Linked DNA regions of Drosophila melanogaster. The protein of the gene in region 2 purifies or fractionates together with the protein of the main gene of each other region. This does not show direct contact. Each region holds a gene or a part of one and is shown on either strand. Other genes may lie near its edges.

Evidence for each region.
Region 1: the proteins of CG5577 (region 2) and CG30281 purify together in Drosophila melanogaster (affinity purification with mass spectrometry, with the first as the bait; one large-scale study listed by BioGRID). This does not show direct contact.

What each region holds. Positions count from the first base shown.
Region 1 is NT_033778.4:22,113,217-22,116,842, reverse strand, and holds CG30281 (uncharacterized protein), read right to left. Parts: upstream 1,847-3,626; 5' UTR 1,833-1,846; coding exon 1,720-1,832; intron 1,666-1,719; coding exon 1,595-1,665; intron 1,519-1,594; coding exon 1,011-1,518; intron 955-1,010; coding exon 771-954; 3' UTR 654-770; downstream 1-653. Other genes in the region: CG30280 (uncharacterized protein), read right to left, coding at 2,202-2,361, 2,424-2,999, 3,051-3,112, 3,178-3,246.
Region 2 is NT_037436.4:17,838,150-17,843,503, forward strand, and holds CG5577 (uncharacterized protein), read right to left. Parts: upstream 3,279-5,354; 5' UTR 3,235-3,278; coding exon 3,138-3,234; intron 2,575-3,137; coding exon 1,887-2,574; intron 1,834-1,886; coding exon 1,671-1,833; 3' UTR 529-1,670; downstream 1-528. Other genes in the region: Grd (glycine receptor), read left to right, coding at 1-528; CG5567 (uncharacterized protein), read right to left, coding at 3,558-4,408, 5,126-5,267.

The DNA.
Region 1 (3,626 bases), on a different chromosome or scaffold from region 2:
CGATTGAGTTGAGTGAATCATCTGCGCTGGAGGCCAGCGAAGGGGATCACAGTGGACAGCAATTAAGGAGCTGCCGGTTTCCAGCCGATCTGTTCCACTGTGCCACAATAATGAGTCAAGACAGCCCAGTCGGGGTTTTTCACACGTTTCGCCTTCCCTGCCCGGCAGTCTTACGGTTTAGCATTTCTTTTGCGGATCTGCAGATTCTTCTCATCATCATCAGTGGAACTGATGACAAGTGTGGTCTGCGTCTGCAATTGTGGTCTCCCTTTGTCTGGGCTTCTGGTCTTTGTCGCAGTCACTCATTTCCATAGGCCTCCATGGAGCTCCCATCTGTGACGTCAGACCCCCGCGAATATATTTTTATCAATGTGTTCACTTCGCTCCCCCCGATATCTCTCATTACCCGAGGCTCTTTCTCGCTGGAGACTCTCCCCAGGCCTCCGGTTTCTCTGTTTGAATTTTATAGCTGGGGCATCGCATGCGCGGCCGTTGGAGCTCCTCAGTTGGAATTCAACTTGCGAACTGAGCGCAACGCGCGTTCCACTCGAAAACCTCGACGAGAAACAAAGACTATTCGCAAACGAAGAGAACAATTTGTTTACGTGCGCGTGTAGAAAAGCAGCGTTTGAAAAAAAAAATCAACTAATAATACAACAAACAAATCAGCGGGAAACGGTTATTATCAAATTGTAAATAAAAGTCCCAAAATGTTGATAGTGTTTATCAAGAAATAAAGTGATTTCCCTTCGGTGTTTTCGGTGTGGAATTCAATGGGCGTTTAAGGCATTTTGCATGCCCTGCCTTCGTAGGTTGTTGGAACACTTGGGTCTGATCATCATTTGTACGAATTTGTAGCCGTAGTCGTAGCCACGCCAGCTCATCCAGGTGATTCCACGACCCGACATCTTCGGCTCGAATCGACCTCCTTCCAAATATTGGCCATTGAGGTTGCTAGCGAAGATAATTGTTTGACTTTTTCATTTGAAGATATCATATCATATTCTTACCTCCTCTGGCACTGATCATACCACCAGGCCCCCACATAAATCCTGGCGCATCCGTGACCCGTATCATCGTGATCGAATGTGGAGAAGGGCATTCCCTTGTGGTACCTTAACGAATCACCGGCGTCTCCCGAGTATTTACCCAAAACAGATAGCGCATAGGACGCTGATGCATTCCCAATGGCAAAATCCTCGTATCGAGCATCATGTACCACTCCATTGAAATCTTCCATATAGACAAACAGCTCGTAAGGCTCCGCGGTTGTTAGGAAGTGTAGCTTTTCCAGACCCATAAAGAATTCTCCGCTAAGCTCCCCAAATCCTTGGCTATACTCCTCCCAACAGCGATAGAAGTTTTCACTGCCATCCTGTCGTCGCTGAATTACAGTCCATCCAGATCCCGCCAGCCGAGTGTCACAATAAACCGGAAAAGGTTCCAGACCCGGAACTTCAATAACATGGATGCCATTACTGTTGATTCCGGCAGCTAGACAGGAGGATGGGTTAATTGCTGCTAGACGATTACGAAAAGATGTAATTAGTTTAATTTTTGTAGAAGATCAGAAGCCAAAATAGCTCGAACTTACTCTCATGACTGCCTCTTTCTTCTGTGATTTCCTTGTAGCTCTGTTTTAGCTCTTCCAGCCTGATCTTTAAACTGAAAAATACATAGTTTAAACTTGAAAGCTCTACGATGTTTTGTGTCACAAACCTGGAAACCATGCTTTCAGCTTTCTTATAGACTAGATCCAATTTATTGCTTTGAGCAGTAGACAAGAGGCTGCCACCGCTTAAAATTAAAACACACAACAAATAGAGATTCATGATCTTGTTCCGTGCCTTGTTCCAACCCATCTAGATTAGATAGATTTGTATAGCTTGAAAATCAATTTCGATACTATATAGTTCGATTGACTTATCAATTGCATTGACAAATCGTAGGTCAAGTTCGCCTTGAGCGGTAGTAGATCAGGAAGTTGAGACAACTAAACATGAGAATTACAGTATATTTCGCAGTTCTAATTGAGATTCTGATTAATGTGCTCGGCGAGAATGCGATGATTCAATGGAACAACCTTTGCATATTAATCAAGTACATAACAAATTGTTTTCACGTTCTCGAAGCCATTGAAACCAACAGGGAGTGAACAGCTAATAATAATAACAATATTCGTGAAACCGCCTTGCCCAAATTCACCGCTGAGTCACTGGTATCATTCGGCACTTGGGTCTTATCATCATTTGGGTTACCCTGTATCCGTAGTTGTGGCCACGCCAAGATCGCCAGCACATTCCTCTGGCGAACAAGCTCTCCTCGTATTTCCCACCCGGCATATACTGACCATTAAGGTTGCTTGAATAATTACAAAGTTGTGAGATTATGTTTTGAGAAAGTTTATCCGACAGTAATCTCACCTGTCCAGACATGCGTTGTACCACCATCCTCCCAGATAGTAAAATGCACAGTTCTTATTAAACTCATGATCGTTATCCCGATCATATGTGGAGAACTTCATTTTGCGGTGTGAGCGGAGGGAATCTCCCGCAGTGCCCGAATATTTTCCCAGTGTATTCATGGCGTAGTCGTCATCTTCGTTTCCAATGGCAAATTCATCGAATTTCGCATGCTTAATTGTATCATCGAAATCCTCCAGGTGTACATACAACTCATGCGGCTCCAGGGCAGTCAAGGCACGAATCTTTTCGAGGCCGAGGAAGTACTCGTCCATTAGATTGCCGAATCCGTTCTTGTACTCCTTCCAATTGCGAAAGAAGCTCAGATTTCCACTGAACCTCTTTTGAATTACAATCCAACCGGGTCCAGCCAACTGATTTTCGCAATACACTTGAAAGGGACTCAAGCCTGGAACTTTCAGGGTGTGCAAGCCATTTTCAAGATCCCCAGAAGTCAGACAGGAAGTTGGATAAATCACATCAGGGGATGTGTTTAGAGTGCCATTGGTTTCAAGTTGCAAAAGTGATTCTTGTAAACTGGGGAGTAAAACAGTAAGCTTAGGCCTACTTTCTTTGTTTGAAACTTACGTTGAGAGTGCATTTTCTGCCTGTTCATAAATAGCCTCCAAGTTTCCAAACAAATTCAGCGTCTGTCGAGGGTTTTGTTTATTTCGATTAAGTATTGGTATACTTTTTGAGCGCCTATTTAACTTACCTCCGCATGACAAAAAATCATCACACTAAGTGCAATGCAAACGGAAAAAACTGGGACGCCGGGAAACATGATTTTGTCAGCTAATCGATGAGAATATAATGAGATTGGATCGTTTCTAAACATTTTATTGCACACAAAGGGAAATAATTGTTGGCTTTGTTTTTGTGCCGTTTCTTATCAGTTGCCATTCAAATAACTTGATTATGATTTCTTGATAATTATTTGGAGCCACTTCCATTCACGGAACTCTTACTGTGAATTTAATGCTATTTTGAAGGGTGGTTCGAAATAAAGCTAAAGAAATTTAAATTGAAAACAGCCATAAATGTGATTAAAACAAAGGCAACACATTCACAACATTTATGATTTGCTCGAATCACGTGGGATAGCCTGGTTTTCAAGTGGGTTGCCCCAGTGAAGCTAAAACTGTGCCGCTTTACGCGCTGTTT
Region 2 (5,354 bases):
AGCACAGAGTCCAAGATCTACGAAGTCATTCCGCTGTCCATGTGCGCTATTAGCATGCCGCCGCCTCCCACTCGGCTGGGCATGCTAACCTCCAGGAATCGGAGGCCCCGGAACAGGCGTCATGGTCTGTGGAGTATGAAGCTTCTGGGTCTCTTCGACTGGCGGCGAAGAAGAAAGCCGCCACGTGCCGACTCCGACGAGGATGAGGATGACGAGCAGACGCAGCTAAGGGCCAACGAAGCACCGACCACGTCTGCGGCAGCTGCGGCGGCACAAGCTGCTGCACAGGCTGCTCGGATTAGTCCTCCAACTGGAGGTCGCCGCAGGATGTCCTACTATCGACGCGAGGAGATGGAGGCCCGAAGGAAGGGCAAACGAACGCCACAGTACAATTCCGTGTCGAAGATCGATCGCGCCTCGAGGATCGTCTTCCCACTGCTATTCATCCTTATCAACGTGTTCTACTGGTACGGCTACTTGTCGAGGAGCTCAAGGATTTTGGCCAACACGCCGGATGCGAGCACCTGATGTTACCTTTTAGCAATTTAGACAGGGTCCTCGAAGAAATCATTAAGCGATCGCCGGCGGCAAACTTACAACTAAAGCTGATGGAAAGCGATGCATACGCAGAGTCGCGGAATTTAAACACTGCGATTCTATAAAATCTTTGCACATGCATCGTTTAAAATCAGCTTAAGACAAGGCGTGGGGGGAAAATCAGTTGGGGGATTGGGAAAAGCAGGGGATGGGTTTAACTTTTCAGATTCAGTTACGCTCTTATTCTGATTTGCTACCAAATGTGACACCGCTTTATGGGATTTCTTTTCGCGCTAAATTGCTAAAGTACAGAAAACAGAACTCAACTCTAACATATCAGAGGACTTGTTAAAACGGACACTCACGAAAATGTCGTGCTTCAACAGTCAAAATATCGTAAAAAACTTTCGAAAACAGGTGTTTGATTGTTTCAATTTTACACGGAAGCAAACCGCCAAAAATATAACTTCTGTGATACTTGCTTGCTTTGTTTTGACAATTAGCAGCTCACATCGATGGGTGTCCTGTAAATTTGTTGTACAGCTAACCAATAAGTTGTATAGTTTCGATTATGTGTGTGTCTTAAATAGTTAACGTTGATTGATAATTGATTTGCAAGTCACAGCACAAGGAACTTGCACTTATTTAAGCAATTTGTTTAGTTCATTGCAAATTACAACTTTTACATGGGATCACCAAGATATAGGAACGAGTAAGAAATTGCCGTCTCTGCTTTTCTGACCCGGCAAGTAATAGAAGGTTAAGCTAGTATTTTAATAAGTCACTCAGCCTATATTGTTAATTCAAAGAAAAGTTATTGGGCCTGAAAATTATTTGGGGACGGACATAAAAATGAATATTCGCAAATGGTTAGTGATTTATTTGTGCAATATGCATTGTCGTCTTTCCAAAATTTATTAGCTAGTTTTGTTCATGGATAACTTTCAGACCCAGCAATTTCTCAACCACTCTATATATGTAAAAAAAGTATCCATCAGAGAATGTTATTGTACTTGCCGGCAGATACAATATGTACAACTATGTGTAAACACATCAACTAAGGCCAAATAAAAGTCGAATTAAGAAGTTGATAACGAGTAGATTGCTGCGCGAGAGTCCCATGGATTTATGGCTCACAAAATGTTCAGCAGATCGCCCAGACGGGGCAGATAAAAGTCTGGCTGGGGCAGCCTGTCTTTTTCCAGCCGGACATCCGAGAGATTATTGTAACGACCCGTGCCCACCAGAAGCGATAGCATGCCACAATTGCTGGCGAAACCGACATCTATTTTGAGGCTACGGGAGAAACTCATTAGGAAAGATTGAAAGGATGTGTTAATCCCGCATACCAGTCACCAATCATAAGCGTTCGCTCGGTACGTAGTCCCTCGGCCTTGATAAAGGGCTCAAGGACCAATGGATTTGGCTTGCCCATCTCGAGGGCTTCACGCTCCGAACATGCCTCGATTCCGGCCACAAAGGCCCCAGTGCCGGGGATACAAAAGGATGGATACTTGTGCACGGCATCCCGGTTGGTGACCAAAAAGGCGGCGTCGGGATTACTGCAGAGGATGTGACAGGCGCGCGCCATCTTGCAGTAGCTAAAGTACTCATCCCAGCCGACCACCACGGCACCCACGTCCTTCGCCGCCTCTGGGTTCCCAAACTCGCGTGTCACAAAGTCCGGCCATTTGTCGCCCGGAGGCAGTTCATCTGTTCCGCCGGCTCCGTAGCTGTCGATTCCGCGCTGCCTTAATTCCCGCGCAATGGCCGCATTGCCCACCACATAGACCTTGTGCCGGGTCCTGTCGAACTTCGGACTCCCAACCAGATAGTCGGCGATGGCCGCCGTGGGCGAAATGATGTGTCGGTCGCTGGGTAAATGGAAGCCAAGGCGCTGGGAGCGCTCAAAGAGCTCCTGTCGCGTCTTTAGGCCATTGTTGGTAATCAGGTAAACTTTTTTGTCAAATCGATCCTGCAGGGCATTCACCACATCCGGAGCACCAGCGATGGCCGTGTCATCCTGCCATATGGTGCCTGTGCGTTTAATGGATATTTGATTTGGTGTCATTTGAAGAGGTTTGAAATGAGAGATATATTTTATAAAGTAACTAAATAATATTGGAATTAACACGAGTTTTGGCTTTATTTTAAAATAATTACGAACGAAATTTCTGTTTGGTAAGCCCAATAGTACATGGGAAATTTATACATTAAATTGGAATGATCTGCGAGAGATCAGAGAGATTTTCAGGTATAAACATATTCCTATTGATCAGGTATAAATATATTCCTAAAAATGTAAAATGATTTCAGCAGCGTTAAGCCTTATCAACTTTTTCTAATTATTAACGATTTTACGTTTAAAGTTATCCACTTACAAAATGAATAACAGTAACAATCGATGTAGCAGGCCGATGAAATGTAAACTTTTAGCTACCGCGATCGCCAAGCTTTTCCCCTTACCCATGTAAATTACCATCGATATTTTATACTCTGTTTTTTCAGTGAAGCGACAACTCTGGTAAAAGCTCCATAGCAGCACTCACAAGCCCAATGAACCCTCTCTCTGTGGCACCTTAGCCGCCCTTGAGACTCACCGTCGCCGTCGCAGAGAACCGTGTCGAAACTTTGGAGCCACTCGCTCACCTGCTCCTCGGATAGGCCGGTCAAGTCGATAGCACCGCCTCTGGACATTTTGCTTCGTAGACCGCTTCGCCAAATGCTTGCGACTCAACTAAATCGACGGCGACGGGCTGGCTGATTTCGATTCACGGTGATTGGGGAAAATCTGCTATCTCCCTTTCGCACAAAGCTCGCTCGGAAAAACAAATTGAGTCGGGCATATCGGTTAAATCATCCGTCTCACAAAATGCTTTTGAATTTATTTAAATATTCTTTGTTCTGTGGTATAAATTGCACTATAAATTTGCGTTAAGTATTAATAATCTTTCCTGTCTATTGAAGTTAAATGTAAAATCTATACAAACACATGTCCGTACTATTTACTGATTACTGATTCATTTCAAGTCCGTCAGGCTGTTCACGATCGACGGCAACAGATCTCCCAACTTGGGCAGGTACACGTCTGGTATGAGCTTCTTCTCCTCGGGATCCTGGCTCAACTTCCAACGCTCCACGTCCTTCAGCTGATGGATTCCGGAACCTACAAGCAGGGTCTGGAAGCCGCAATTGAACCCAAGAAGTATGTCCGTATTGGCTCGATCTCCGATCATCAGAGTTCTCGATGGATCGATCTTCTTCTCCGTGACCAGAGACTCACAAATGGCAGGATTCGGCTTCCCGATCACTACAGGATCCCGCTCCGCACAGGTTTGAATGGCCCGCACGAAGCTCCCGCTGCCTGGTACTATCATATTGGGCATGGGGAAACGCTCATCCGTATTGGTAGCCACGAACAGACACTCCGGGTCGTTTAGGTAGGAAGCGGCCTTCATCATCTTGGGAAAACTGAAGTGTTCGTCGAAGCCAACGACCACGGCTCCGATGTCCGTGTCCAGTTTTAAATGCTGTGCCATGAACTCGGCCAGCGATCCCTTCATGGGTTCCGGGCCCACCTCAGTGTGCTGAATGCCCACGGCGTCCAGTTCCTTGGTGATTCCCTCGCTTCCGATCACAAATACCCGCTTGCTGAAGTTCCGTCGTTTCAGGTACGCAGCTGTGGCATGGGCCGTTGATATAATGCCATTCTCCTTGATATGAAAGCCCAGTTCGACGCCTTTCTTGAGAAGTTCCGACCGGGTCTTCGTCGAGTTGTTAGTGCAAAAGTAGATCGACTTTCCCATACCCTTCAACTGGTTCATCACATCCACAGAGCCCTCCAGGGCCTGGCCATAGATCCAAAGGACACCTGATGTGAAAAAATGGATTAATATTGTAGAAGAATTTTCTTAAAATTAAAAAAAGAACGGTGCTAAATAGGTTCTCACTTTGTAGTTGTTAGTTTTATTAATGCCATTGCTAGTTTTATAAAGGGCGTTATTGATTTCTCAATATCTACAAAAAGTATACTCATATTGTTGGTAATTTATTTCTAAAATTGATAAATTAATCATTCAAAGGCAAAGAGGACAGTTTGAAATTAATTCCAATTAAGTAAATTGGTAACTTCGCAAAGATACATAAACGAAAAGAAATAAAAGCTGTTATGATTAAAGAAGGCATTATTGCATAAAATTAATAAATAATGGGGTTGAACACAACTTTTGATATTGCGTATATAATAACGATTTCCTTGAATTGATAAGATTGTCTAATATTAATAAACTTAGGGCTCATCACTATGAGCATTAGGGAATTTATCAAACGGCTCTTTACTGCTTTACTCTTTACTAAATATAACGATGATTAACAAGATATGAGGGCATCCGAAAGTCGACTTCCCGCCATATCACGCACTTCACTCTTTGACATTGAAATAAACGACGCAGCCACAATACAGAAACTATTGGCTGCTGACGTATTTGGGCAGAATGTGGTATACACATATCTTTATGTAACGCAACTTCCTGGGGGGAATCCTGGGTGGGTGCGAGTTAGTAGTATCTCATCCCCACCACCGACTTACCATCGCAGTCGGTTATTACACTGTCGAAGCCTGCTAGCCACTCGGTCACCTTGGCGGAGGATAATTCCAGGAGATTGGTGCACGACTGCTTGTACATGTTGATAGCTGCCTGTCGCGAAAATCTGGCGAAGTTACAACTCATCTATGGCTTTGCAGCGACGACTATCTTATACACATCACTTTTAATTTATTAATTGACTCTCGATTGCGAGAAACTCCCTGAGAATTA